Mus musculus: one gene and its partners. The protein of the gene in region 4 interacts with the protein of the main gene of each other region in a pairwise test. Links are inferred from orthologs where the notes say so. Each region holds a gene or a part of one and is shown on either strand. Other genes may lie near its edges. The genes, in order: Supt20, Pim2, Rbfox1, Atxn1, Cirbp, Otx2 and Sf1.

Evidence for each region.
Region 1: the proteins of Atxn1 (region 4) and Supt20 interact in binary tests that used the Homo sapiens proteins (3 or more experiments, as listed by UniProt). The link is inferred for Mus musculus from reciprocal best matches to the Homo sapiens genes ATXN1 and SUPT20H.
Region 2: the proteins of Atxn1 (region 4) and Pim2 interact in binary tests that used the Homo sapiens proteins (3 or more experiments, as listed by UniProt). The link is inferred for Mus musculus from reciprocal best matches to the Homo sapiens genes ATXN1 and PIM2.
Region 3: the proteins of Atxn1 (region 4) and Rbfox1 interact in binary tests that used the Homo sapiens proteins (3 or more experiments, as listed by UniProt). The link is inferred for Mus musculus from reciprocal best matches to the Homo sapiens genes ATXN1 and RBFOX1.
Region 5: the proteins of Atxn1 (region 4) and Cirbp interact in binary tests that used the Homo sapiens proteins (3 or more experiments, as listed by UniProt). The link is inferred for Mus musculus from reciprocal best matches to the Homo sapiens genes ATXN1 and CIRBP.
Region 6: the proteins of Atxn1 (region 4) and Otx2 interact in binary tests that used the Homo sapiens proteins (3 or more experiments, as listed by UniProt). The link is inferred for Mus musculus from reciprocal best matches to the Homo sapiens genes ATXN1 and OTX2.
Region 7: the proteins of Atxn1 (region 4) and Sf1 interact in binary tests that used the Homo sapiens proteins (3 or more experiments, as listed by UniProt). The link is inferred for Mus musculus from reciprocal best matches to the Homo sapiens genes ATXN1 and SF1.

Annotation. Positions count from the first base shown.
Region 1 is NC_000069.6:54,693,714-54,697,940, reverse strand, and holds the start of Supt20 (transcription factor SPT20 homolog), read right to left. Parts: upstream 2,819-4,227; 5' UTR 2,737-2,818; coding exon 2,734-2,736; intron 1,458-2,733; coding exon 1,422-1,457; intron 991-1,421; coding exon 932-990; intron 1-931. UniProt on the Homo sapiens protein: Required for MAP kinase p38 (MAPK11, MAPK12, MAPK13 and/or MAPK14) activation during gastrulation.
Region 2 is NC_000086.7:7,877,007-7,881,201, reverse strand, and holds the start of Pim2 (serine/threonine-protein kinase pim-2), read right to left. Parts: upstream 2,897-4,195; 5' UTR 2,884-2,896; coding exon 2,646-2,883; intron 2,519-2,645; coding exon 2,409-2,518; intron 1,575-2,408; coding exon 1,524-1,574; intron 1-1,523. UniProt on the Homo sapiens protein: Proto-oncogene with serine/threonine kinase activity involved in cell survival and cell proliferation.
Region 3 is NC_000082.6:7,068,393-7,072,716, reverse strand, and holds the start of Rbfox1 (RNA binding protein fox-1 homolog 1), read right to left. Parts: upstream 2,883-4,324; 5' UTR 2,719-2,882; coding exon 2,632-2,718; intron 1-2,631. UniProt on the Homo sapiens protein: RNA-binding protein that regulates alternative splicing events by binding to 5'-UGCAUGU-3' elements. Regulates alternative splicing of tissue-specific exons and of differentially spliced exons during erythropoiesis.
Region 4 is NC_000079.6:45,962,161-45,966,456, forward strand, and holds the start of Atxn1 (ataxin-1), read right to left. Parts: upstream 2,832-4,296; 5' UTR 2,655-2,831; intron 2,466-2,654; exon of another isoform or gene 2,445-2,465; intron 2,225-2,444; exon of another isoform or gene 1,414-2,224; intron 1,278-1,413; exon of another isoform or gene 1,169-1,277; intron 1-1,168. UniProt on the Homo sapiens protein: Chromatin-binding factor that repress Notch signaling in the absence of Notch intracellular domain by acting as a CBF1 corepressor. Binds to the HEY promoter and might assist, along with NCOR2, RBPJ-mediated repression. Binds RNA in vitro.
Region 5 is NC_000076.6:80,166,477-80,170,717, reverse strand, and holds the start of Cirbp (cold-inducible RNA-binding protein), read right to left. Parts: upstream 2,880-4,241; 5' UTR 2,802-2,879; intron 2,548-2,801; exon of another isoform or gene 2,301-2,547; intron 990-2,300; exon of another isoform or gene 911-989; 5' UTR 905-910; coding exon 802-904; intron 703-801; coding exon 596-702; intron 517-595; coding exon 378-516; intron 294-377; coding exon 212-293; intron 25-211; coding exon 1-24. UniProt on the Homo sapiens protein: Cold-inducible mRNA binding protein that plays a protective role in the genotoxic stress response by stabilizing transcripts of genes involved in cell survival. Acts as a translational activator.
Region 6 is NC_000080.6:48,661,136-48,664,810, forward strand, and holds part of Otx2 (homeobox protein OTX2), read right to left. Parts: intron 1,600-3,675; exon of another isoform or gene 1,525-1,599; 5' UTR 1,406-1,524; coding exon 1,309-1,405; intron 340-1,308; coding exon of another isoform or gene 316-339; coding exon 164-315; intron 1-163. UniProt on the Homo sapiens protein: Transcription factor probably involved in the development of the brain and the sense organs. Can bind to the bicoid/BCD target sequence (BTS): 5'-TCTAATCCC-3'.
Region 7 is NC_000085.6:6,362,202-6,366,490, forward strand, and holds the start of Sf1 (splicing factor 1), read left to right. Parts: upstream 1-1,488; 5' UTR 1,489-1,886; coding exon 1,887-1,917; intron 1,918-2,318; exon of another isoform or gene 2,319-2,505; intron 2,506-3,462; coding exon 3,463-3,591; intron 3,592-4,289. UniProt on the Homo sapiens protein: Necessary for the ATP-dependent first step of spliceosome assembly. Binds to the intron branch point sequence (BPS) 5'-UACUAAC-3' of the pre-mRNA. May act as transcription repressor.

The DNA of each region.
Region 1 (4,227 bases), on a different chromosome or scaffold from region 4:
ACTCAAAGGGAGGGACCTTAGATGAAATGCCCAATAGTAAGGAGAGGAAACTTATAAAGCCCACCTCCAGCAGGAAGACAGGACATCAAGAGAGGGATGGGGTTGCCATCCCACAGTTACATCTCTGACCCATAATTGTTCCTGTCTGAAAGAATTACAGGGATGGAAATGGAGAGGAGCCTGAGGAAAAGAAGGTCCAGCAACAAGCCCAAAGTGGGATCCAGCTCAAGGCCTGACACTATTACTAAGGCTATGGAGTGCTCACAAAAAGGGATCTATCCTCTGAAACACCCAACAAGCAGCTGAAAGAGTCAGATACAGATATTTGCACCCAACCAATGGACAGAAGCAGCTGACCCCCGTTGTTGAATTAGGGAAGGCTGAAACAAGATGAGGAGAAGGGCGATCTTGAAGGAGAACCAACAGTCTCAATTAATCTGGACCCCCGAGATCTTTCAAACACTGGACCACCAAACAGGCAGCACACACCAGCTGATATGAGGCCCCCAACACATACACAGTAGAGGACTTCCAGGTCTGTGTTCATTCAGATGATGCACCTAACCCTCAAGGGACTGGAGGCCCCAGGAAGTTTAGAGGTCAGGTAGGGTAGGGGGTGGGGGCATCCATGTGGAGAAGGCATGGGGTGGGGAGGAGGTGTGGGATGTAGAGCAGTCCAGTCGGAGGGTGGATGGAGGGGGTGGGGAATGGAATATGGAGTGTAAGAAATAAATGAAAAATTAAAAAATTTTTTAAAAAGAAAAGAAAATGCCCATTTGTGACACTCCATCAAGATTCCTAAGCTGCATATTGTGGAGTATCAAGGATGCTCAACCTGCCCATACAAAGAACTGACAACATTTCAATGTCTACAGTAAGTGGTAGTTATCCTATTTCACTGACTTGGGCGTTACCGATTAAGCAGTCATACCTTCCACTAGACAGGTATTTCCTTTTAGGAGGTCTCTGCTGAGCACTTTCCACGATGTACTGAAACAGAGAAGTTGGTCAAAGGGCTTGCCTTCCGCTTTCCTACGAGTGAGTGCAAGCGAGCTGCAAGCCCGCAGCAGGACAGTGAGAGCAGCCCACTCAGTCTCCTAGGCTCTGACAAGCCTGAGCTCACGCTTGTACACAGGCCATAGAGCCCAAGACCCAGCCCAGTGTTTTAGTACCATAAAATGCAATTCCACAGGACAAATATATTCTAAAAGTTTTAAATTTATTTTAAAATTACACATTTGAGTGCAGTGACCCATATTTTAAGGTATTTTAGAGAAACTCATCAAGATAGAAAAACAACTTTACAAATTCTGTGGTCTGGTTTAAAATACTGTTCTCTTGAGGGTTATCAAAATGTCCTATTAAGGACTTTCTGTCAGTTACAAACCCCAGTATTTCAACATTTAATCAGTAGGGCTCACCTCTGCGCAATCCAAAGCTTGTTCTACAGCTTGTTGCTGGAAAAAGCAAATAGCAGATTTGGCAATATTAATTATTTTCAGAAAAAATAACACTTGACACTCGTTATTAAGTGTTTGTTTCATTTTCTGAAAAAAGAGCAATGTGTTTTTCCTCTCCTCTATCCTCCAATGCGTTACTAAGGTTTTTTTTTTTTTTAATGGCTGGGCACTTGATCATAACAAATGCTAAAATGGCACTGCAGTCAGGACCTGGAAGCTAGACATGCTCGTATTGAGTGTTCACTACTCCCTTCAAGCACTTAGGTATACCATTTAATACGTATACATGAAAGGCAAGAATCCCACAGGGACAACTCCCATTATTTCTAACCAAGTAGAAGTAAATAGGCAAGTCCTACAGAGCAGGAAGATGACGACACACGTCCTCTACAGCCTGTCTCTAACCCCACCCCACCCCACCCCACCTGCCTCTCAACTGTAGTAACAGCTTGTCCTCTGGGCTCCACTGCAGGTATATCTGCACAAAAGTGAGGATGGGATGGGGGATGGGGGAAGAAGAGGCAGGGTTTAGAAACTCTGTAGCCTATGCTGGCTGGAGCTCTCTTTCTAGCCTAAGCTGGCCTTCAACTCTTGGGGATCCTTTGACCTGAGTGTCCCAAGTACTGGAATTACATCTGTGTCAAACTAAACCTGCCTACATTTATTAATTTTAAAGCACCCAGGTGAAGGAGTTTGGGGAAATAGTTCAGTCCACGTGACTGCCACACAATCATGAATAACTGAGTTCAAACTCCAGAATCTGTACAAGAAAGCAAGACAGTGGGGCACAAGCAGGGATCCCAATAAGGGGGACGTATACCTCAGGGGCCAGCCTGGCCTACTCAGCAAGTTCTAGGCCTAATGGACTGTCTCAAAATAAAAGGGGGACAGGGATAAAGGAGGAACATCGACATTGCGATCACTTCTTTACCAAACATATAGGCCACATGCACAGAACAAACATAGACAAAAAAGATGGAAGAAGAAACTTAAATTATGAGGGCCTCCCCCAAAATAAGCTTCATTTATATCAACCTCCTTATCAAAGACTCAGAAAAATGGCAAAGCAGAGTTGACTTTTAATACATGAAGGATTTGTCTAACTTAAATGTCCTACCACTGAATTGACAAGATATGAGTTAGACATTTTCTAGAAAAAAGTTAGGCATGACTACTAAGTTATCTGAGTCTTTCTATTCACAATATTTTTATGGAGCTAAAGGAAGAGAATAGTATAGGATACACATTTTAACACGCTATATTCACAGCTTACCATTGTGGCAACAGATAAGGACCCCAAAAAAGATAAAACTTAGACGTGCTGTGGAAGTGGGGTGGAAACCATGTCTTCTTCTATACTGCAGGAAAAAACAAATAGGAACTGTTAGCATAAGACTGCAAAAAAGAAAGACTGTCATTATCAGGAAAAGTACTCAAGGCACATACGTTCCTAACATATCTTTAAAACAAACTTCTACCAGAGAATGTATTAAACCCACCTACAAACAGATGAAAAACAGCTCTCATGGAGTAGGGCAAAAAAGTCAGAGAATTCAAACCACTACCTCACACAGGCCAAAGTAATACAACACTGAGAAAACACTGGCTTTTACAACAACACTTTTAAACTGCCTTCCCTGCAGATTCTACAACCTGACCACTGGCTTTGACAGCTATGTGGGGTCACTTTCAAATTCAGTTTTTAATCACACTGATGGCAAAACCAGAAAACTCCTATTCCCCCAAGTGCCCCAGGCTACATTTCCAGACTTCTCTAATACTTTTACTTAAAAAAAGGAGAAACATCTTTGAAAAATCTTTCCCATAATGCAGGGGGTCTCATCCTGCCTTACAAACCAAGTGACCTACCCAGCTTTAGGATGGATGCCCATGTCCCAGTATCTGGATTCTGGTCAAAGTCTAGAGTAGAGTGGGGGACCCAGAAATAAGGAAACACCACCGTGGAAGCCCACTGTTCTAACCCTTCCTGCCTACCAAAGATGATACCCTCTGCTCTGAAGACACTAAGTTGTTTTACAATTTTTCACCTATCAATTTGCACTTACTGCCACAGAAACTACACAACTCTGTTAAAGTACAAATTCTAGTGACAGAAAACCAGATTTCCTATACAAAACTTTTTCGGAGGGAAGGACCTCCTTAAGCCAGTACAGGCTAAAGAAATATTATCTGATAGTATTAGGTTTTTTAAAAAGATTTTATTTATTTACTTATTATTTATTTATTATAAGTACACTGTAGCTGTAGGTTTTTTTAAAAGATTTTATTTATTTATTTATTTATTATATATAAGTATACTGTAGCTGTCTTCAGACACACCAGAAGAGGGCATCAGATCTCATTATGGGTGGTTGTGAGCCACCATGTGGTTGCTGGGATTTGAACTCAGGATGTCTGGAAGAGTAGTCAGTGCTCTTAATCACTGAGCCATCTCTCCAGTCCAGTACTAGTTTTTAAAAGCCAAGCCAAAAACATCTTTTTTTTAAACTTTTTTAAATTTATTTTTTTAATTAGGTATTTTCTTCATTTACATTTCAAATGCTATCCCAAAAGTCCCCCAGACCCCCCCCCCAAAAAAAAACGTATCTTTTTAAGAATATTATTCCTGTCTTTGAGTTACTAGAGGAAGTATAAGCAAAATTTAGGTGATTTTTTTTGACCACTAAACCTAAATAACAAGACTCACAAATCCAATGTGGTAACTCAAATTACAGTTACTTTTTACTAAATTAGAAGGGATACTATA
Region 2 (4,195 bases), on a different chromosome or scaffold from region 4:
TAAAAGTCTGTAGCCCTGCCTTCAACATAGCAAAGTTTATTTTCAAAGCACTAATTTCGGTTGGGCTCCTCTTCCTAGACCCTAGTACCCTCTTTAAAGGTTCAAGTCCTTCAGAGAGTGAAACGAACAGAGACCATACACGTCTGGCATGCAGTAGGTCAGTAAATACTTGGAGAAATTGAAGTGTTCTCATCTGTTTTGAAGGGGAGGGAGTTTGAGACAGGATCCCTACATAGACCAGGCTGGACTGGAATAAGAGATTCACCTGACTCTACCCCCAGAGGATGAAAGTGTGCCCCACCATGCCTGGACTTCAAAGTGTTTTATAATATAAGTCCCTCTTCATAATTTTACCTAAGATAGGTAAACAAGATGTTCATCAAGATCCACATCAGGACAGCTTTTATGCACACTAGATACTCAATAAGTATTTGTAAATGGAAGTACTTTACAGCAAAGAGGGACTAGCATGGAACTAAATCCTATTAAATTAATACTATTAATAAATACTATTATTGTATAAGTGTTGGTTAGTTTTCTTCACTAGCATACCTCAAGGATCCTTAGTAACAGCAAAACTCAGGATGTTAAGACAGAAAGAGCAGTCAGTAGAAGGGATGTAGCATATAATGCATTCTAAGAAATGATGTCGTATTTTGCAAAGTGCCTATAAATTAAACCACGGCAGAAGTGTCCTCTGGTTTTTAAATTTCTATCTCATGTTTGAGACAGAATTTTGCCAAGTAGCCCACCCAAGCCAGCCTCAAATTCACTGAAATCCTAGAGACCCAGCCTCTTGAACGTTGGGATCACAGGTGCGCACCACCAATCCCAGCTTTCATTTGTCCAAAACGACTTACACTGATTAATTGCAAAGGACCTGGCACAGAGTAAACATTTAATGAATGCTGTCTTGTCAGTCTTGCTTATCAACCAGCACAAGTCAAAGGCCCCTGCCCCAGACCCGAACGGGCAGCGACTGCCAAGAGTCCAGTTGCCTCAGATGGGGTCCTTTACAGACCCAGTAACTTGCACAGCCGCAGACAGGTTTTCTCACGAAGACGCAAAATCGGCTACTGCGCAGGCTCACCCCCAAACCCCCCCCCCAAGTCCACGGGCCGGCACAGACTACCTAAAGGGTTCACCAGGGGGAGCTCTCTTACCTACAATTTGCCCAGACCCGCCCTGATGTCCGTTAGCGTTCTCCGGGTGGCAGAAGAGAAGCAGCCAGCATCACCATGACAACCAGTGACCTAGGCCCCTCCTTCCCCACCAGCATGTCCTGTGAACAGCCCCAAAAGCAGTGTTTGGAAGAAGGATGAGAAAGGAGAGTTTGAAAGGAGAATCCAGGGCTCTGGGGGAATTGTGGTGAAATCAGAACTATCACATGAAGGCAGGAATCACAGGCTGGTGGGGTTCTCATGGTTTCAGGGCCCAGGGAGTCATATGTCCCCTAGAAAAAAAGCAGTGCGTGCGTTCTGTGATGGAGTCTATGGGTCATGACGTACACCAAAGACACTCACCACGGTGGACCAGCCTAGCACACGGTTCCGGGAGATTACTTTGATGGCCACCTAGAAAAAAGGCTGAGATAAGGGGGCAGCAGGTGATCCCAGACTTCCCAATTCCAGTCTCTCCACCCGGGTATTCCTAGTTCCCATACATATCACATCCATCGGAGCTCAGATGCCCACCCAGCATTTAAGTCCTCAGAAGCAAGTTCACCTAAACATATTTACGCCTGGGCTCTCGTTAAGAAAGCATCAAGACCCCCTGAAATCCAGAACGGGAGTGAGTTGTAGTTTTTTTTTTTCCTTTTGCTTTTTCTCTCGCACTGTCTTTCTACATGCCTCCCCCCTCCCCCCGCCACGATGTTGGTTATTGAACTCAGTGCTTGTGAATGGTGGACAAATAATCTACCACTGACCCATATCCCCAGATTCGAATTCCAAGTCTTTTTGTTTTGTTTTGTTTGTTTTTTTTTTTTTTTTTGACGTCGCATGCCCTCCTCCATCATCCTCATCTCCAGGACAACTCTATCTGGATTGTTGTTCTCACGACTCCACACTTAACACCTACTTTTAAAACATCCCCACCATCTCAGACACACAAGCGCACGCACATCAATTCCATGGATCTTGGGGTCCAGTCCTGATATCTGCCCCCTCCCTAGTAGAAAGCGCCAATCTTCTAGAATTCTTGCCCTGAATCCTGCCCACCCCCATACCCACCTGGACTGCAGACACACGCGCGCACTCACACTCCTAGCAACCCTGCTCCTTATGATTCTACTACACATTTGCAGACGCAGGCTCCCCACTGAAGCAACTGGCATCCCAGTCACTGGTACCCCACCACCACCCTTCGCCAAAACACCTGACCCTCCGAGAACCCCTTGTAGGGGATACCTGACGTCTATCCGTGACGCGGTGTCCCGCGAAGACGGTGCCAAAGCCTCCCTTACCCAGGAGGGGGCCAAGTCGGTATTCGGCCTCGAAAGCTGCCCGATCCTTGCCTCCTACGCAAGCGGAGGCGAGGAAGTCAGGGTGGCGGTGTACTCTGATCCCAGCCATGACTCGCCCCCACACCAGCACCCATCATTCCAGTCCACCCAACCTGCTTGTGACAGAGGAGGCTACGCTCACCTGGAGGCTGCGTGGGGGTCACAGGGGGCGAAGGATGCCCCTGCAGAGGCTTGGTCAACATGGAGGAGGTGCTGCGTATATTGAGCCCGCTGAATCCGCTGAGCCCGCAGGGCGTGGATGCCCGGGGCAGAGCGGCCGGAGAGCCAGGGCTGGGGGGCGCCAGGGTGGAAGGCAGGGAATCTGGCGGCCCGGAAGCGCCTGCAGACGGCGCAGCGTTAAGATTCGTCGCGCGCGCCAGCCCCAACGCTACTGAGCCGGGGCACGCGCCTCCCGGGAGAGTCGCCCTGCGCGACAGACCCGCCCACCTGGCTTTGATCAATCCGGACGCGGCACCTGCTGTACCCCAGCCAATCCGAGCCAGTCCTTATTTGCATGCCACCCTCAACGTTTCAAGTGCCCCTTATGCAAAATACATGCCAGGTTCTTCCGCGGAGGAAGGGCCTGTATGCAAATGTAGGAGGGTGCGCGCGCGTGCGCGCACACACATAGACAGACGGACACACAGACATGCACGCTTCTGGGAATTCCTTTGCGACAACTGCGTTTGTTTTGGTTGTTGGTGTGGTGGGGTGTGTACACACTTTTAAAAAGCGCAGCCTCCTTTCCTAGGATGCAGGTTTGCTGCCGCCATCACCTTTGCTGCCTTGAGTTCAGTAAGGAGACAACGACAAACCAGCTTTTAAAAATCAGAGCCTGGAACTAGACAGGATCCTGTCACGTGTGTTTCACCCAAGATCAGGCAGCCTTTGCTCCAAAACTGTAATCTTATAGGAGAGCTGGTCCACTCTTCAGGGAAGGGTAAAATTCTTTACCGTCATCAAAAGGAAGGGATGCAGAGGAAACAATGGCAGTTTGGCACCTGTAGGGTGCTTTTTTGCTGCCATTATCCTATACAAACCTGGCTAGACTTGGCTCTGTTACTCAGTCTGGGTCTTGAATCTATAATGGCAGGACTTAGTTCTTGTGGGAACTACAACTTCCTTGTAAAAAAGGAGCTGGGAACTGAAAGCGAGGTCAGACTGGGCAACATAGTGAGACTGTCTTAAAAGCAAAAGGTCTTCAGGTAAGGCTGCTGACCTCAGGACTCACATGGTGAAAAGGGAGAAATGACTTCTATAAGTTGCTTTCTGACCTCCAATCGTGTGTGGAACTCACATACCCACACGTACACCAAGAACGGGAGAACCACCATTAAAGATATAGTCAGACACATTCAAGTAGACTTGTCCTAACCTAGGTGTACATGAAAATGTGTTCCGAAAAGAAACATTCAGTGATATGACTTGTACTGTCCTACGGGGGTCACTTAATACCATATGCCCCCACCAGAAATTGACAGATTTGTCACAAGCACACAAGCACCACCAGATATGTACATTCACAGAAATATTTGTGCTGCCCCAGAAATGAGAGACCCAGAGTCTGTCACAAGAATATACAGTTGTTCCACACATACACGCACTGCTCCAAAGCAGGTACGTAGTCATCCTTGGGCTCTAAATCACCACATAGATAAGCAAATCAACAAAAGCCGGACCCAATCACACACT
Region 3 (4,324 bases), on a different chromosome or scaffold from region 4:
ACAAAATGCTTGTCTTATTTGTCTGTTTACTCCATAAGTTTAGTTTACTCCATAAAATAAAGGGTGCCCTGGATACGATATAGTGACACTGGTTTTCCAGAGAAACAGAAAGTAGGAATGGAAATCCCATGTTAACTATGGGACTGACTTTAAAGAAGAGGCCATGAGAGGGACCTCACTAGACACGTAAGGACACATCTGTAGGTACTGACTGTAGCATGAGTCAGGTACTCTCTTAAAACTTAAAAAAAATGCAAATTATTTTTTCTTTAACTGCAGAAAAATTAAGCCACACTGGCCTGAATTTCAAAAGTGTCTCAGGCAGCAATTCAAAAAGGAACATCTTTGGCCACAGAACTGTTGGCTGTTGAGTTTAGAAAGACTGTGAAATTGTGAACAGCATCTCAAGCAGCTCGCCAGTGGCCCTTGCACATAACCATTCATGCTGTTCCCAACTATGCAGGCACAAGGGATCCTAGCAAAGATGAGTCCATAGTCCTCTTCATTTTCTTGTCTTGCTGGAATCACTAAGTTGCTAAAGAAATCTGAATCCTGGCAAAAGGGCCTTTATTCCTGACTCGGGGTGAAACTCCTCAAGCTAAGGGCCAAGGTAGCTAGGGCAGGAAGTGCAAGCTGAAAGGTAAAGAGGCACTAGAATTTCCTACCTATTCTATCATACCACATCCTTTCCTTAAGAACAAAACTGCAATGGGAGGGGGTTTAGTTTCTTTGAGCCTCCACAAAGCAGCAAGAAGGCTAGCACCTTCATGTGCACAGCCTTGCAGTGTGCTCTGTGTGGAGGAGAGGGGAAGGGTGCAGTGGGTCCCAGTAGCTCATCGGAGGCTCCTCACTGACACACACAGAAGGACTTGTAGGTCACTAGTTCAGAAGTTTCCTTTTGGGAAACAAATGAGAATGGATCAGGTTAACATTTGCAAGTAAAATAACTTGCTCCATTCCACACTAACCAGTTATGTTTCTTGAACATTTTGCCAAAGAGGAAGAAATAGTGCCTTCCCAGCTTTGCAGTTGGTTCTAGCGTCTTCTCATCTATCATTGGGGTAATACGTTCAGAGTGGCATTTTGTAATGACAGAAACATCCCAGCAAATCGATAGTTATTTAATTCCCAACAAGCTCTCGAGTCCATTAAACCTGATTACATTCACCCATTTCTGTGGGTGCCGTTATTCTCCTGCACCAGCACTTAATCTATAACAGGAACTTATGAGAACTTTCAAAAGCAATTTCAGCATCAATCAGCACGGACTGAAATGAGCGATTTGCTTGTAATTATTTATCGGATAGGGCAGCACAGGGGCCGACAAAACTCCAGCCTTTGACCTTCACCCCAAATTTCCAACAGAAGCCAAAAGCACTGTTACTCTGCTTCACCTTCAAGTCCTAAGTTTCATGTCACCATCTGGCCACAAGTTCCCTTCCTTGGTGCCAGGGCCATTCTCTGCTGGTCTATTTACCTATAACATAGAAGTGTAGCAATAGTATCCATACATCTAGGGTAATTGGCAGTTCTGATGCTATCGGGATTGACGTCTGGGTGCATTCTGCCACCCAGCTTCTGACAGTTAATAGAAGGTCACAGTCACAGTCACAGTCAAAGAATAAAAAGAATATTTGTTCAATCCTCCACAGAAGTCGTCATTAATGAATTAGAGTTTTGTAGAACTCTCAGAGAGGGCTGGGTGGGAGTGGGGCTACAGGAAAAAAAGCTAAAGTGTTGTACTGCATATATTTAATTTTCCTTTCCCATAGAAAGGAGATTTAGGATTTATTACTTAGGGTTGCTTATTTCTAAAGAACAGCAACAAATAGCCACTTGCTTCCTACAATGACCCACTTCTATCACAAGTGGATGTTGGCTTCCCAGAGAACTGCAGGCGTACACCCAGAAGCAGTGGGTTTGAGTGACAGCAAGGAGGTACAATAAGGCAAAGAAACAGGTCCAATTTCTCGCTAGCACACAAACCTCTCGGTACACAGAATAATAGCCTTAGCAGTCAAAACAACAGGCATCCTAACTTCTCCCCAGCTGCCGAGAATACAAACAGTTGGCATCGAATTTGCAGAATAACCTCTGAACTTCCTAGCGAGACCATTCTCAGTGTACCCTCTTGTTTGTGGGTCGCCTCTCAGATTTGCAAGGGGAAGCTTCTCTGCAAACAACAACCTGTGTGGGGTGTCCTCAGCAGCACTCTGTATTTCCTGCCCTTCTGTTTCCGGGGTTAAAGCCTTTAAGCAAGCCATATCATGATAAGTTACTGAGCCTCATGATCTGCTCTGGGAGACCCAGTCCCTCAGAAAGCTAGGGAAGAGAGCAAATCTTTTGCCCCCTGGTCAACCTCCCGAAGCAAAGGCATGAATGTTAAACAGCACCCAGATCAATACAAGCAAATACAGCTCAACTACACCATTTATTCATCCATGAGAGATGTCAATAGCCAGATTAAGGTGATCCATCTTTTTGATTTCCTACTGTCTTTCCTTTGACTACACGAGGGCTTTTTTTTCTCTTCCTGTATTAAAAGTGTTTGCTTTCTCAACCATAAAAATTCCAATTATTACTTAGAGCATTCTGGAGTTAAGTTGCTTGCTGGCAAAAGCCATGAATTACCTGCATCAGTCCCGGGAAGTAGGGGGCAGCAGGCACAATCATGGGCACGCCATAAGAATGCAGAAGGACTCCTTGCGACGCCAACATGCTTTAAATGGAGGCTTTATTCCCTCCAAGGCTGAACACATCAATAGAGAGTTAGAGGGGGAAAGAAATCTATAGACCCAACTTCTTCTCAACTACAAAGCCGAGAGCCAAATCACTTCTGTCAGGAGCCAAGTGCTCATCCACAGGCAGCGGAGAGGGAAAGGAAACAAAACCCTGCATCAGCAACTCTTAATGTGAAAGTTTTCTTCCCAGACAAGGAAGGGACGCGGCAGCTGCAGGGTCGGTCGGAGCTACCAAAATGGAAGGAGCTATTTTGGGAGCAGCTCGCCCAACATGACTAACCAAATACTCTTCATTAATTTAGTTCTCAGACCAAGGGAGATGGAGTGACAGGGAATCAGGCGAAAAGAGAAGGCATTTGTCCTGAGGAACTGGGCCAAATTGCAAGGGGCTGGGTCTGCATGAGATTTTTAGAGAGAATAAGTAATAGAAATGTGTAAGCTTACATGACAATCAGTTGCAACTTAAAGAACTTAAACATTTACCCACATAAAAATCATCACCAGAGCCTAGACTTCAGTTCTAAATTGCAACTGGTTGTTATGTGAGTTTGTATACTACCATATAAGCCTGAGGACTGGAATTTGGATCTCCAGTGCCTATGTAAGAAATCAGGCAATGTGTCACACATTCCTAGCACTGGGAAAACAGAGACAGGAGAATGCAGGGTCTCAACTGTCGAGCCAGCATAGCCAAACAGAAACTTCCATGTACAGTGGTTTAGTGGAAGACCCTCTCTCAAAGCGTAAGTAAAAAGCAATAAAGAAAGATACCTGGAGGTCACCCTTTGAACACAGCACATACATTTTCACACCTATACCCATTCCGCCACAGTTATGAACAAAACCAAAAACAACCAAACAAATAAGAACAACAACAACCATAACAACAACACTCAAATCTAGCAGGTTCATGTGGGTAGCTGATCAAAAATTATCTAAGAATACTCAGTATGTGGTGGATAGCCTCTATAATCCTAGAACTCAGAAAGTTGGTATAGAAAAATTGGGAGCTCAGCTGTATAGCAAACTTAAGGCCAGCCTGAGCTACATGAAACTGTCTCAAAACAGTGGGCTCACTTTCCACCCCTTCTTCACCCAATTTCAGTTTGAAAAGGCAATTCATGAGTAACAAAATAATAGCTGAAATCTGAGTAAATTAGCTTTGTGGGTTATTGAGCTCCATTCTTCCACATCTCGGATGCAGGGGCTAATTCCCAGACCCAGGAAGCAAAGTGGTACCCAACAGGAATCCAGACTCACACTAGGCAGCCACTTTGCAGCTAGTAGGAAGCAGTGTTGAGTTTAAACCGCCCCCCCACACACACACAATCACTAGGTAAGTTGTCTAGCTGGCATTGCACTGTGAGATGTGATCTAGAAATGTGCCACAGAGTAGGTGCAGACTTGCTGGTGCTGTGTTTCATCTGTGAAGGGATTTTATATAGCTGGTATGTGTATCTTCCAGCTGTGATACATGAATTTGCAATATACTAAACAAAGGTGACACCCCACTCCCCCTTCCCCCGAAATGAAAGGCATTGAGAAGAATGCAAAGCAGGAACTGGAGCCGCTTTCCTTGGAAA
Region 4 (4,296 bases):
GCCATGGCAACCTGATCTAATTACATGAGTGATCAGGGCTGGAGTAAGTGTACAGAAAACTAACACCACAGACAGTATCTATGATGAGAGAGGCAGACAGGCAGGAGGCTTCTCAGCCTCAGCTTTATGTGGAAGGTGGCGTTCAAGCCAATTTATTTGCAAAGCTGCTAAAATATTGACTGATGCGTGGCCAGTTAGAGGACAATCAGAGGAGATTAAATGCCACAGCTAAGCTGTTATGGTGCAATCCCTTTCCAAGAGTTCTTGCGCATGTTTTTTCTTCTCTCTGGTGGCTACCTCTAGCTTCCCCTGGCATAAGCTTCATTCAAAAATAAAATAAAAATAAAAACCCTCGGCTATCAAACTGTCTTAGCTACCCACCCACCATCAGTAAACCAGAGGGTAGGCTTAACCCAGGCTTCTAGGAATGGCAGGGCTCTTCATAAAGCTGGACACGGTTTAGCAAACACTATTGCAAAAAAGTAACCAGCTGCGCCTAAAAATACCCAGCATGTAACTACCTTGTTGCCTACGATCTATAGCAGTGCTGTTTAAATATTAAGAAGAGCTCGCATTATAAAACAGAAATGTCACTGAGATGACACTACTAGGTTGCTACAGGGAAACATAGGGCATACACACATTCCCCTGCATACCAGGCAGAATGTGAGGTGAGAACTCTAAAGCATTACTTTTTATTCTGTAGGTGGTGTGGGGTCTTCTAATTTTACTAATTGTATCCTGTGGCTCTCTCTCTGACAAACTAAGAAACCTCTTCGGGGACAGAACCAGTTTGGAGGAGTTCCTACTGCACAACATACGGTAAACAAAATAAAAATAGCTTGCCTTTCTTGTTAGCCACATAGCGCATTATATAACCAGCTTCCGACTGGCTTCTTTTTTTTTTTTTCCGCCCTTACTACTCTTCAGCAATTTCCCAACCTTCCCCAAGTATTTATATTGCCCTCTTATCTGTAGGATTATACAGCAAGAAAGCAAAACAAAACAGGACAGCCACGGGATCGAACTAAACCCCATCCTCTTACCCCTGATCCTCCCCCCACCCCACCCCCCGCGCCCCTGGCAGAGTCTAGATACAGCACCCTACTTCCACCCCCCACCACTAAGGTCCTTGCTCAATCTCCCTAGAAAACCTGAATTGTTTCACCTCTTGCAGTCAGCTCTCTACGTGGTCTGAAATAAAATGAAAGCGCACAAGCCACAGAGTTGAAGGAGGCGGCTCAAGAGAGGTCGAAGCGCTGCAGAGTCAACCAAGGGACCACCGTGGACCCCCACCCCCACTCCCCGCTCCCCATCGCGATGGTCCTGGTCCCCGCCCGGCGCGCGAACACACGCACACACGCACCTACACACTCACACGCACTTACTCCCTCCTCTCCGACCCCGCCTCACCTCTCGCTCCGCCCGTCCGGCCCCTTCCCTGCCCCCTGCGGGACCGGCCTGCGCGCTCGGCTGCAACCACGTAGGAGGCGGCGGCGGTGGCGGCGGCAGCCCTGGCAGTGGCAGTGGCGGCGACTCGGGCCCCGAGTGAACGAGCCGCGGGGCTCCGGGGCACATCCCAATCCCCGCAGCGCCTCCTCCGCCGCCACCTCCTCCTTCCCCTCCTCCCGTCTTCATTCACCCTCTCTGCCGCCGCGCAGCAGAGCAGTCCCGGCGCAGGGCAGCGCCCGCAGCTCCTCCGCTACTGCTGCGGGCGCCGGCAGAGTCGCCGGGCCGGGCTGGGGCGCTCGCGGGCTCCCGGCTCCAGCTCCGGCGGTGGCGGCGGCGTCTGCTGCTGCTGCTCTGGATCAGGAAGCGGCCGCACCAACAGGGCGGCGGTGGCAGCTGCAGCTAGGGCCGGTCTTCTCCCGCTGCGCTGCGATGGCCCGCGCGCCCTTGCCTCCTGAGGCGCCACCTCTCCGCGCCCCTAGCCTCACGCAAAGTCCCCTCTTGGTCCCCTCGTAGCCCCGAGAGGCTGGCCTAGGCGGGGAGACCCCAAGCTCGGGGTTGCCTCTGTCAAGCTAGGCGACCCCGGGCGGGGAAGCCCAGCCCTCCCTCGAGCCCCCGCAGCGCTCACCGCCCCCACCCGGGAGGGGGGACTGGAGAGGAGCGAAGAGGGCAGCGCGACCCTCCGCGGCTGCCGCCTCCCCCTGCGCCACACGGAAGGAGGAGGACCGGGCTCTATCCGCTCGCCGCCGCCGGACCGGCAGCAGCCGAAACGGGGCGCCGCCGTTCTCCCCACCCGCGCCCCCCGCCCGGGCGCGCCCCCTCTCCTGGCGGCCGCCCACCCAGCCCCTATCTGCTGCCCTTGCTAGCCGCTCCTGCTCCCAGAGGGGGTCCCGAGCCGGGAGGCTGGAGCCGGGCACTAGTGTATGTACACACAGTCACACATACACTCGCGCGCGCGCCTGCACACACACACACACACACACACACACACACACCACGACGCGTCGGTTTCCTTCGCTCCTCTTCCAGCTGTTTTCCGTGCAGCCCATTGAGACTGGGGGAGGGGGGGTGTATGCTGGATGTTCTTTGGCCCCTCTCCGGAGAGAGCAGATTGGGGTGCGGGAGGGGGTGATTTTAATCTAAATCGGGGTGGAAGGGGGAGGGGGAGAGAAAGAATCAGAGGAGGAAAAAAAATAGCCACTTACTGTAAAGTGTAAATGGATCTGGGGTTGCGTGGGGAAGGGGTAACAGAGGGAGAGACACAGTGTCCTGCGGCTGCTGTAGCTCTAGCTGCGGCTCCACAGGGCTTGTTTTGGATCCCCCTGCAGTGAAACAGGTCCTGTACGGCTCCTCCACTGTAGTAGAAATGATGTCTGCGGTATACTCTGCTCTCTCCTCCTCCTCCTCCTCCTCCCCCCTCCCCTCCCTCCTCCCTCCGCCCGCCCTCCCTCCCTCGCGCTCTCTCTCGCGCTCGCTCGCTCGCTCCAGTATGTAAATGTGTAATAGAAGCCAAATATGGAGCAGTTGGCTGCCGCCGCCGCAGCTCAAGGATCCGACTTCATGGGGGGGGAGGGGGGGGGGAGGCACCCTCTGGCAGGCGGCCCGGCGAGCCGCACAGAGCACGGCGAGCGCACGGCGCGGCTGCCGGCCCGCGCCCTTAACCCTTCTATGCACCCGGGCTGGAGCGGCGCTCGCTCCAGGGGAGGCCGGGTTGTCTCTCCGCAACTGTGGCTCCGGATCCCCGACACCGACCGGAGGGGACTGTGCCTTCCAGGTTTGAGAAAGGGGCGGGGAAGTTGGGGCGATGAGGTCATTGGAGTGGTGACCGATCGGTGCTCGCGCGCCTCCCCGGCTCCCTGCAACCTAGTTGGAGGGGGACAGGGTGAGTGCAGGGTGCAACTCAGGCAACCTGGGAGACTCGCAGCGACGGGTGTCAGGATTTGGCTCCTACTTGGTAAAATACCCAAGGGGGCGGGGAAGTCGGCTGATTTCTAATTACGAAGTGCCCTTGGTGCCCCCCGGGTGAGCATCTAAAGAGGACTCATTGTATCCTTACTGTTAACCCTCCAACCCGCCAGCCCTGCGTCATCCGAGGCAAGGCCCGCGCCTGCTGCCTTGGCTTGCAACTCGGGAAAGTTCTCAGGCTTCCCCAGCTTGCACTGGCACCCTCACCTTTCCTGCCTGGACAAGCTGGCGACCTCCCGGTCCTCCTTTCAAATTCTGCTGGTCTCGAAATCTGCTGTGGGCATGGAACGCCTCAGCTCTAGCTAGCCCTGGTAACCGACCTCACTCACTCCTCAGGGCTAACTGTGGATCATTCATTTCATCGCAAGCGAGGTAACCTGTGCACTGAGCAGTCAGTCGATGGTGGTTCTCGGGGAAACCAAGCGAAGGAACGCTCCCCCACCCACCTTGTCCCGGTGGCTAAACGCAGACGTGGACTCCCCACCCGGCCCCCTCCGGCTACACCTCAGCCAAGCGTAAGCTCGAGGGAAGAACTCTTCTCTGGAGGCGTTCACCTTGCCAACAGGTGTGGCACCCGAAAGAAGAGCCATCACATCCCCACGAGGGTCGCTCAGTGCCGCGTTCTCTTTGCAGCAGAAAATTCTTGAAGACCAGTAGGTGTCAGGCCAGCATCTGACCTCTTTCAGGTGCTTAGAACTGAGAGTCTGGAAACTCGATCCCTTGGTCTCGCTGGAAGCCACTACTATTTATTGACTCTAAGCCGGATTTGAGAGACCTTTTGGCTCCGTTTACGTATGACCCAACAATTAGTCACTGTCTGAAGCAGCGTACAGAATCACCAAGAGAAACGTGTGCGCGTTTAAACTACTGTATTGTGGAGCC
Region 5 (4,241 bases), on a different chromosome or scaffold from region 4:
CCATAGCTGCCACCCTGACTCCGGCTGTGGAAGGACACACATGGACACCCAGGCTCAGCCCCGTACCAGGTATAGTTGGCAAGAGTTGGTTCTCAGTAGAGAACAAAACCAAACCACCTACACTAGTCTGCCCTTCCCCTGGTGCACCCTCCTCCCAGGCCCAGCTGCCACCACCGAGGCTGAGCCTCCCCAAGGCTCCCATCTGGCTCACCTGGCATAGTAGTCTCTGGAGCCTCCATAACCCCCACTCCGGGACTCAAAGCGGCCACCTCCATAGCCCCGGTCTCCTCCTCCTGTAGATGATCGAGAACAGAGTCAGGGAGTCCCTACTCCTGCTGCAGTGCCACCACCAGCTGCCAAGGCACCCCAGCACTCACCTCTGGAGAACCCTCGGCCCCGGCTTCGTCCCCCACGGAAAAAGCCCCGGCCTCCAGCAGAGCCACCCCGGTATCCTCGGGACCGGTTGTCAGAAGACTTGCCAGCCTGGTCAACTCTGATCTGCCGCCCGTCCACAGACTGCAGGAGAAAGTTAGGGTCACTGTACCCGATTCCACACCAGACCTATCCAAGGTAAATTGGCTGACCTGATCCTCACCTTCCCATTCATAGCCATCATGGCGTCCTTAGCGTCATCGATATTTTCAAAGGTGACAAACCCAAAGCCTCGGGATCGCTGGGTCTCCCTGTCCTTTACCACCACCACTGCAGGAGAGAGACATTAGATGTGCCCAGTCAGCCCTCTGCCCCCCACCCCCACCCCCAAGTAGAAGCCGAGAACAATGATCCTGACCCAAGACTCACCTTCGGAGATCTGCCCATACTTGGAGAAGACCTGCTCCAGCGCCTGCTCGTTGGTGTCGAAGCTGAGTCCTCCCACGAAAAGCTTGCCTTCATCTGATGCCATGGCAGCCTATGCACACACCATAGATGTTTGCCTTAACCACCACCCCTTCCAGAAACTGAAGCCAAATAGCATATTTAAGAATATGCTTTTCAAAAAAAAAAAAAAAAAAAAAAAAAGAGTAACATATTTTATGTGCACTGGTGTTTTGTCTCCATATATGTCTCTGATGCTGTCAGATCTTGGGAGTTAGTTATGAGGTGCCATGTGGGTGTTGGGAATTGAACCTGGGTCTTCTGGCAGGCAGGCAGTGCTCTCAACCCCTGAGCCAACTCTTCAGCCCCCCACATTCTTTGCCTTTAAAAAATTGAGACAGTGTCTCCTTTTATAGTCCAGGATGGCCTTGGAACACCTGTAAGGATAAGTCACTGAAAGCTTTAAGGAGTTAAAGCTGCCTCTTCCCATCCCTTACCTACATATGTATGTATGTATGTATGTATGTATGTATGTATGTATGTATGTATATAAATAAAAGTAACCCACAGCTGGACATGGTGGTATATGCCTTTGATCCCAACACTTGGGAGACAGAGGCAGGCAGATTTCTGTGAGTTTTGAGGCCAGCCTGGTCTGCAAAGAGAGTCCAGGATAACCAGGAGTACACAAAGAAACTGGGGGGGGGGGGCTAGGGGGGAAGCATGGGGGTGGGGGGAGAGGACCCCATGGTCTTACTGGGAAACCTCAGCTTCAAGTGGGGTTTCTTTCACACCTCTCATCCAGCCATTCAAGTCACCGAGATGGGAAGATCAATGAGAAAAAGGACACTGTGGATCAGTTTGAGAGACTGTTTCAAAACAAATACCCATCTCGCCTAGCCTGTGGGAGTTGGAGGCAAAGGAACAGAATCCAAAACCAAATACAATTGCACAGCAAGTTCAATACCCTTCTGGGCTACACAAGAGGGAACTCTTTTTGCTTTTATCATCCCAAAGGCATATGGAATACTTTGTCATACAGCTGAGGCTAACCTTAAATGATTCTAGGTCTTGATTACACCTGGCCAGAGAATCCCAAGGTTAGGATCAAAATGGCATGGTCACTTTGCAAATGTGTGTGGTTGGGGACAGAAATGATAGTGACTGCCTACCCTCACTAGCATAGAGTTGTTGGGCCAGAGAAACTTCACTACTGAAATACGCTTTTAGGGTACTGTCTGGAGGTGTGCCAGTTGTGGGATGCCTCGCTTACTCAGCCAAGGACTAGAGAAATGTTTTTGCACGATGGACTCAAGGGAGAAAGGAGGTTGGCCCAAGAGGCGTGGCTAGCGAAAGGGGCGTGGTATCTAGACAAAGTCATTATTGGCAACCGACAACTTGGAAAATAAGTCCACTATACCACGAAACCAGTCTACCTTGGGGGCAATAAACTTGGGGCACAAAAGGACAACATTCAAGCCTACATGTGCTTTTTTGTTCCCCACGTGGAACCACAAGGGAAGAGAAAACCGAGGTAGAGCCAGCTGGAGTAAAAGGGTCGCACGCGACACAGCTCCACATCTGCGGACAACCGGACTTTGGAGGTAGGAGCGCCCCGCCCCCGGAGCAGCGCATGCGCCAAGCGCGCACCCTGCGCCATTCCATCCGGGCACTCGGCAGTCCCGCCATTTCGCCGGCGAAGCTTTTCAAAGCATCGCGGCGGCCATTTTACAAAAAAAAAAAAAAAAAAAAAAGCCCACCGTTAAGGTCGGCCTCGGCCCGGGGATGACGCGCGGTGGAGGACGCCCTCCGACAAGCGTGAGGCCCCAGTGTCCCGCTGCCCGCCTCGCCGCCGGCGGGGCGGACTCCAACCCGGGCCCGCCCCCAAGTCCCAGGGGCGTGCCGCTGCGGCTCCGCCTCGCCCGAGAGTCACAGGCCGCCCGCCGCCCCGGGCCCCTCAGAGCCGGTGCCGCCAGAGCCCTCACCGCTGAGTCGGGCAGGTCCCTGACGCGAGCGGGAAGACAGCGCGCCACACACACCCAAGCTTCCTAAGGCGCGAGTGCGAGGGGGAGCGCAAGAGTCCCGCCTGATATACTCCACTCCTGGAGCCACGCCCCTTAACCCGCCCACCACGCCGCGCTGACCAATCCGACGCCTTAGATTCGGCATCTGCGCCTCGGTGGAGGGGCGGGACTCCGTTGGCTTTGCCCTAGTCCGCGCGGAGGCGCTGAGTGTTTTGATTGGCTGGAATCTTTCCTGGCCGCATTTTTCCCCCCCACCCCCCGCCCGCTAGCGACTAGGAGGCGGGGACAGCTGATTTGGAGGCGGAGCTGACCCACTTCCGCGTTCCCGACCCGTTTGTCCTGCGGCGGGGAACAAAGAGCTTTTGCTACCTCAATGAGACTCCCAAATATGGCTCCAACCTTGACTCATCGACTCAACACTTTTATGTTCTTTTTTTTCTTTTAATATTTAATTACAGTTATTTAACTGAGGCGCATTTGTGAAGCCAGAAGACAGATGGAGTCTCTCCTTCCATCATGTAGGTCCTAAGGATCATACTCAGGATTAGCCACAAGCAGCTTTATCCACTGAGTCATCTTGCTTGCCCCTCTTCTCCGTTCTTGCTCATGAAACCAAAACCACCGAATTACTCTAGTCCAAAAGTACCTCCCAATACAACTGCTGCCTAACAGTTCTTTGGACCCCAAGGACACTCCATAAGATCAGCCCTAAAATTTCCATCCCAGTATTAATCACAATGTCAAGATTTTCTCTAGATTTCCTGCACCCAACTCAGTTTTCCTACAAATCTCAACCTGCTGTATAACGACCATTTGAACCCTGATTTCTGCCCATCTCCAACCAGGTGTACATTACCACACAGATGGCAAAACACCACTCTTTTCAATGTGTACCTGCATTTTCTAGAAGAGACCCCAGAGTCTCAAGCATGCCATGGAAGGATTTCTATCCTTGAGCCACACCCCTAACCCCTCACTGCAGAATTCTAAGTAGTGGCTAAACCAAGCTACATCCTTAGCCTTCTTAAACACACACACCACAGAGAACAAAACAAAAAAGTGTATTTTAATTTTATGTATATGGGTGTTTGCCTGAATGTCTATGCAGCACTTGCCTATCTTGCGCTGACAAAGACCAGAAGAGAGTGCTGGATCCTTTGGATGCAGAGGTCCAGACAGCTGTGAACCTTTATGTGGATTCTGAGAATTGAACCCACGTCCTCTGCAAGAGCCCTTTACCACTAGGCCATTTGATCCTTTGAGACAACCTACATTTTTCAATCTATCCTTGAAATCCGTAGGCTCACATCCCAAGTAGCTGTGATAACAGACCCATGTCTCCAGGCTACATTTTCTTCTCCCTCCACTGTGGTTTTGAGAGTCCTGAGTCCTGAGTAGCCT
Region 6 (3,675 bases), on a different chromosome or scaffold from region 4:
GACCCTGGTTCATATGATTAAGGAGGAACAGGAAGAGAAAGGGAAGTAAAAAGTCCCCTGGCTCCTGAGGGTTTAGAATTTCAAGCCCTTCTTTGGTCTGGGACAAGGCCTCATTGGGTCATCAGTATAAACCAAGATTGAAAAGTGTCTACATCTGCCCTACCTGCACCCTGGATTCTGGCAAGTTGATTTTCAGTGCCACCTCTTCCCTCATGAAGATGTCTGGGTACCGGGTCTTGGCAAACAGAGCTTCCAGAACGTCGAGCTGTGCCCTAGTAAATGTCGTCCTCTCCCTTCGCTGTTTCCGGGGGGTGGCTGCAGGACAAGAAGCCCAGGGCCCTTTAGGGTGGGGGAGCAGTTTCTCAGTCACAGGACTTTTGCCTCGGTCCTCAGACTCCCCGACCTCCCTCCTCTCACCGCGTTACCCAGTATCCCCACCCCTTCCAGAGCCTCACAGGACACACGACCTCCCAGTGTAATGCGGTCCCCTCCAACCCCCCCCCCCCCGACGCCAGCTACAAATTACTTGAGGAACTAACAAAATAAAACAAGGAGCCACAATTCCCATCCCCACGCCCAGTTCTGGAAACGAACAAGCAAATAACAACCTCTAGATCACACACATCACCAGAAAAGGCTGACTAGTAAAGTTAAAGGCTCTATGAGGACCAAAGGTTCAGAATGACGCAGCGAACGCCGAGCCAGTTCCCACGGTATTTTAACACCACAGGGACGTTTGTTCTTTTATCTTTAAAATGGGACATAGTTCATACTTTTATGAGTTTTTGGTTGGGGGGAGGGAGGAATCTGACTAGAAAAGAAAATTGTCTGGCACCTGGAGGGAAGCCACACCTCTAAGGATTAAAGGGACAGGGCATCGACGTACCGGAAACCCCTGGAAGCCCCTGGCCAGGGAAAACTGGAAGGGACAGTAGGGGAGAGAATTCGGTTGCTCCCAGGGAAGTAATAGCTAGGAATTGGACGTGGAAACGTACGCAAGAGCGTGCTCAAGTGACAAGGTCAACAACCTTCCACGACCTAGCCCAATGAATGTCGCCAAGCCACTCGAGTTAAGAATGGAGCGGTGTGATTCTCTGTTACTTCTGCAGACCCCAGATTCGCCTCTTCCCAGCCTCTTGTTCCCTCTTGGGTCAGTAAATGCTCTGTGGCACTCGGCAGTTTGGTAGCAAGGAAAATACATCGGGAACCCCGCCTTGAGCTTGAGTGAGGACAGCGCGCCCTCCAACCTCGGAGCTCCAGAGGGGCGGGCGTGTGGAAGGGCGTCTAGAAGGCCGCGGACTCACTTACCGGGGTAGCCCACGGAGGGATGCAGCAAGTCCATACCCGAAGTGGTCAGACTCAGCCCATTGACTGCGTAAGGCGGTTGCTTTAGATAAGACATCATGCTAAGGTTGTTTGGAGGCGCAAAGTCGGCCCAAATTGGGGGGACCCAGCCGGACGGTCTCGATTCGCCTGGAGTGGACAGGGTCAGGGTCCTTGGTGGGTAGATTTGGAGTGACGGAACTAAGGGCAAAGCAAACAAACAAACAGAAATGCTGGTTTACTGCTTCGGAGGGAGCAGCTTCCTCCACGTTCCAGCACTAACTAAAAAGAACCCGGGAGACGCTGGGCACAGGCTTTTAAAGGAGTTGCAGATGCGTCCCCCACCCCCGCCGTCCCCCCCACCCCCCAGCAGCTCCAAAACTAGAGGGGATGGAGTGAGACCAGATAAACCTGTCTTCCCCACCCCCACCCTAAACTTAAAAAAAGAAAGAAAGAAAACCGACCCGAGGAAAGCAATTACAATCTGCCTTCCCCAAGAACAAAACCCCACGCCTCCAAATGCACGCTCTACATTCCTAACCCAACATTTGCATAGGACTCATTGGCTGGCACTAGCTAATTGTCTCAAACAAAACTTGATTGGGGCCATTTGCAGAGACAAAGAACTCTTTGGCTAAATAAATAATGCTGATAACAAAGCCCATTGGTGAGAAACAAAGAAACAATTCAAGAAATCTACCTCTTCCCAGACTGTTGCCTTTCCCTGGCAGAGATTTTAATTATCTTAGCTGATTTTTTTTTAAATTATTACCACTTTCAACTGCTGTGAACCTAAAATGTAAACGCATTCAACATTTAAAACACCAACTTGCTGAACAACAAACTTGTGAAAACTGCCCAATCACTATTATCCCACATTTGAAGTCATTTCCAGTAATCATTTTCACCTAATTAGTAGTCTGGATAATTAGATTTCGAAGTAAGTAACAGATTTATTAGGGTTTTGGAGGAGTTTGATTACATGTGTCTAAAGAACTATAGCTAAACAAACAACTATTTAACTTTTAAGCGACACCCATCAAATATTTAATTTAAACATACTGAGAGGGAAAAAAAAAAGTCTTTTCTTCAAGACTAGCACAGGGCTTGACAGAAATGCTTAAGTTAGAATCCTAACTGAAGTAAAGTCAGATAAACTGCTGCCCCCACATTTTGCAAGTCCAGAGGGGTGCATTCCTACAGCAAGCCGCTTCCATGTTTTTTATGTCAGGAGGCTACAGATCCAGCGGGAAACACTTTTTCTTGGATTTTGGGTTGGGGGGAGAGGGGGCTGCAACGGGAGCCACCTTTCCCATATATTTAGGTTTGAAGTCAATAAACATCCAAAGCAATGGAACTAACCGCACTTCTCTCTGCTTTTTAAATTTCCTACAATTTTGTAAGAAAAGGAGCTGGGTGGGGGGAGAAAAAGAAAAGTCATCTGTGTTCCTTTGCTGAACCCCTCCCCCCATCGATGTTAATACAGGCAGGCAATGTGTGTAAGGCTGGCTTTTATTTTCCAAAAATAAGGCACTTAAAGCGCTCTCTCTCTCTCTCTCTCTCTCTCTCTCTCTCTCTCTCTCTCTCTCTCTCTCTCTCTGCTTTGAAACTTTGACACTCTGAGAAACTTCCTCAAAATGGCGGATACAAGACTGAGTTCTCTGTCACTTCATAAAGTTCATTAATGAAAAAATTAAGACCTTAGGTTTTCATATTTACCTTGCTTAAGAGACAAAGGCAAAGCTTCACAAACAAAACTCAACAGCTGTGATTTCTTCCAGATTTACATTCAGAACACAAGTCTTATTTCCCCACCCTAAAATGTGATTTTTATAAATGTCCTTCTAAGAGAACTGGATTGTTAACGAGTGAAACTAGTTACTTTTGCGAAGAACACTTTATATTCTGTGTTCCTTCTTCCAAGATCTAGCTATTTGTAACTGTGAACGTAAGATTCTTTAAAAACCCAGTCGTTCCTTATTTAAATACCCTCTAAAGAGGAATTCTTTGAAAATACACTCTTATTCCCTTGGACAGTTCTGACCTGTTATATATGATGTTAAGATGGGCATGTATTTATTTACTAGTCTAGCTCTCACCCAATTAGATCGCCTAAACAGATCATTTGATAAAAGCGGCATGTTCCAGGATAAAAAGCAGTAACAGAAAGTTCGGGGCGAGGTCCTTCTTGGAGAGTCAAAACGGCTCAAATTGTCAGGGAAAACTATTTTCACTTTTCCTCCTGGAGATGTGGGCGGAATAAAACAAAACAAAAACAAAACAGGAAAACCAAAACCCAAACCACGGTCACTTCTCCACAGCGAGCTTAGATAATAAACACGGATAGATAAT
Region 7 (4,289 bases), on a different chromosome or scaffold from region 4:
AGTGCTGGGATTAAAGGCGTGCGCCACCACCGCCCTGCTGTCCAGCACTCTTAACTGCCGAGCTGGCCCCTCCTCTGCTTAGGTTGATAGGTTTCTTGGGTATTACAGTTGGCTTTTCTACTTTCACATGTCTGCTGATGTAATCTGGGAGTTACATGTGCTAGGTTCTACCACTCAATTGTATTTTCTGCCCAGACATTTGCTCTTTCTCTGTTCTATGGCCATTTCCTCCCTACCTGTCATAGTCTGTTGACTTGTACCATCCACCATACTTGAGTTTCTTATCTTTGTAGTCTCTTTATTCCTAGATTACTCCAAACCTTCTGTTGTCTACATGTCTACTTTTCTACATCATTTTAAAAGATTACTTAGTCTTATGTATATGGGTGTTTTGTCTGCATATAAGTCTGTGCACCATATATATGCAGTGCCTGTGAGGCCAGAAGAGGGTTCTGATATCCTGGGACTGAAGTTACGGATGGTTGTGAGTCACCATTTAGGTTCTAGGAATCCAACCTGGGACTCTGGAAGAGTAGCCAGTGCCTGGTCTTATCTGCTATTTCTCTAGCCACTCTAATTACATATTAAACACTGTTTCCCCTACTGGGTCTAAATAACCTCTCTGTGAGAACCCTATCTATCCCCAGTTCTATTATGTTGTGCTAACCTGTTTCATTACTCTCATGTTTATTTCATGGGAAGGAATGTTTGGCCTCAGTCTCATTTACAAGTTCCCTACCATTTTTATGGGTAATTTTAAGGTACCCGAAACAAATTTCCAACGCATTGAGATTTCCCTGGAAGTGCACACTTTTAGACTAACTTTTGAAATGACTTTCTCTCCCCTCTCCAAGAAGGACTTGGAGCGCCTGACTTTTCCTTTACAAGAGTTAGTATGTGCCATTGAACCTGGATTTTTTGAGACAGATATACTGTACCCCAGGTTAGCCCCAAACTCATGTCAGCTCTCCTGTCTCAGCCTTTCAAGTTCTCGGGTGACAGGCTACTTGGCTACCTTGTACCGGAATGAAATAAAGTCTTTAAATACACCCACCAACTACCCTAGTTTTGAGCCATTTCGTAACACTATTTTTCAGAGAAAACAGGAAGTCTTTCTCTACTCTACCTGCAGCTTCGACGTATCCTGTTCGTCAGCTCGAGCCCGCCCCTTCGCCGCGGTCCCTAGTTACCTCTAGCACAATGACTAACGTCACTTAAGGCCTCCGTTCCGCCCCTCTGGGGAAGGGGGCGGGGACACGCGTGCCCTCCCTACGCATGCGCACCCCTGCTCTCCGCCTTGGTTCCGGCTTCTCCTCCCGGCTTTCTCCATTCTCGAGCGGCTGGCTCCTGGGGGAGGGGAATCGTTTCAGCCAATCGTGTGGCACTACGACGCCGAGGCGCTTACCTCCATCGGTTTCAGCCAATGAGCTAGCCGTTCTCTCACGTCACAGACTTTGCCCCCTCCTATTCCCCTGCCACTCTGGCCTCAGTCCGCGCAGTAACAAGGAGTGCGCGCTGCGACACCTCCCAGTTCCCCCGGCCCCGCCGCCATTTCGTCGCCGGGCCTAACGGTTCGGCCAATCCCGACCCATATTGAAAAGAGCCAGTGCTCCACCAATCGGAGGCCGCTGCCTCCGACCTCACCTCGGGCCGGCCCAATCCAGGCCGCGGCCCCTCCGCCCCGAGCCCGCCCCCGCGGCGTCCTTTCTCCTCCCTCTTTGTGCGTCTGGCGCCGCCGCCGCCCGCCGCGTGAGAGGACGGGCTCCCCGCGCTCTTCAGCCGCGTAGTCGGGTCCCCTCCCCCCCACCTCCAGCTCCCGGAAGGTTCGTGAAGGAGAAGTCGCCGCGGAGGACGAGGAACCGCTGCTGCCGGTCCCCTGGGGCGCCATGGCGACCGGAGCGAACGCCACGCCGCTGGGTAAGCTGGGCCTACCAGGCCTTTCCCCACTTCCTGGGCCCAGAGGCAGCTTCAAGCCCAGCCTATTGGCGCTCGGGACGCCGCTGCCGGGGGCCCTAACCACGGCCTTGTCCTTAGCGGCGGTGCCGTCACCGCCGCCGCCCCCGGCCTCGTACCCGCCATAGCAGCCGCCCCCGCGCCGCCGCCGCTCTTTTCAGCGAGGGTCGCCTCCGCGCCAGGACCAGCAGCCGGGCCAGCCCGGTGGCGGCGGAGGTGAGTCGGGCCGATAGAGCGCGAGAGTCGTCGGGCGAACCGAACCGGCCGACGGAGGGGCAACGCCACCGCGGTTGGACGCGGCGAGGACGCGCGCGCGCGCACGGGAGGCCCGGGCGGACGCGCCACGGGGAACGCGCGGCCTGGTTTGGGAGGCTTCGATTGCGCACGCGCACCGCGAGAACCAGAAGGGCGGGAGGAAGCGTTCTTCGCGCAGACGCAGTGAGGCGTTCAGGCTTTGTGGCGCAATTGTGGTAGTTTTGGAAGAAGCCACCTGTTGCCCCCTGAGCTCCTGCTATGGAGGACAGGAGAGTCAGGTCCACGGGACGACGTGGTGTGAGTGGCTCCCTTGATGGTTTTTAGCAGCCCCGTGGCAGGAGTGTCTCCTTTCACAGTGAGGCGAGTTCGGAAGGCTACTAGGGATGCTTGAGTTCGATCATTTATTAAAGGTTTTCTCCTTTTGTTTTCTAGAAGGTTCTCAGAGTGACCAGCTTTCCCCGTGCTGTTTTAAAAGGCTTTTTCTCTGGGCCTGTAATCTGAGAAGTAGAAAACCTTGTGTGGTAAATGTAGGGAAGAATGTAATAAATCAGAGTTCTGATGACAAGTGTCCACTGGTCAGGAAAACTGATCTTTCCACGAGTAAGAATGGTCATATTGAAGGATGGCATGTTTCCCACAGTAATGTGTAGCAAGAGATTTGTTGTGTACTCTTGTAGCTTGAGTTCCAATGCTTTGTGGGCCTCATTCCAGTTTCCTCTTTTCTGCCCTTTAAGGCATTCAGAATTGATAATATGTATCTGTACACTTCTGATTCTGGGTTTCTGTGCATTAAGTCTTGGAAGCAAGGGCATGATGGTTCATGCTTTTAATCCTAGCACTCTGGAGGCAGAGGAAGGTGGGGCTTTGAGTTTGATGCCAGTCTACATAGTTTAAGACTGCCAGGGTTCTCTAAAGGGACTTCTGTCTCAAAAAACAAACAAAAGATCCAAAGAGTTGGAGATATGCATCAGTGGTAGAGCTCTTACCCAATATATGCAAAAACTCTGATGTTAACACTACAAAAGAAATGTGTTCCTTGTTACATTCTCTAGTATTTTCGTTTTAAAAGAACTAAATGTGAACTGTTCCTTAACTTTCCTGACAGGAGGATCTTTAAAATGGCTGCTTGTTTTCTCTGACCTCTGAGATTTCTTTCTTTTTAAAAATTTAGGTGATTTCAGTTTAGTTTTAATTATCATGAACTGCTTGCCTTCTGGTTCATATTTCTGCCTGATGGGCTCTGTCTGTCTTTAGACTTCCCAAGTAAGAAGAGGAAGAGGAGCCGATGGAACCAAGACACAATGGAGCAGAAGACAGTGATTCCAGGCATGCCTACAGTTATACCCCCTGGACTGACTCGGGAACAGGAAAGAGCTTACATAGGTAAATACACGTTCTACATCCAGGTGCATCTTCAGATTGTTACTGCAGATTGTTCTGAGTGATGAACCTGTTGAAAGTCTTAAGATTTTAGTCATGGGAACAAGGTGTGATGAGCTATGCTTTCATAGCTGTGTAATCCGTGATTTGCTTGGCCAGTCCTGCATTTGCAGCTTCTTGTTTGGGCCTGCTCTTAGCTCGGCAGCCCCCTTCTCAGCTGCTGTTCTTGCTCATTGGTGAGGTGAATGCTATCTTCCTCTCTGGACAGGCCCCAGTGGAGAACACTGCAGGTATTGTAAACCAGTTGCTTTTTTGTAGCATGGCCTTTCACCATAATGTCATGGTTCCCTTTCCCTAAAATTGTGGTTTCGTTTTTTTATAGGTACAAAATAGTTTAAGCAAAAAGTGGCTCGGAAAGCATTTATAGTTTACCCATTTTGTTGAATTTAATCCTTCCCTTCAGTATCCTTTCTTGTTCCATCTTTAGAGAGCTGTCTTAAAACAGGCTCTTGTAATTTACCACTAAAGGACTCTGCTGGGAAGGGTTTACTGTTTGATTTGAAATGAAGTGGTGGCAGAATTTAAAAAATTAGGTTACTGTCCACAGTAGAATTAAACCTCAAAATTACTTAAAATCCAAGGTCATAATAAATGGAAGTTTTATATCTGTCCTGCTGTCTCAAAAAGTGCACTTGATAAAC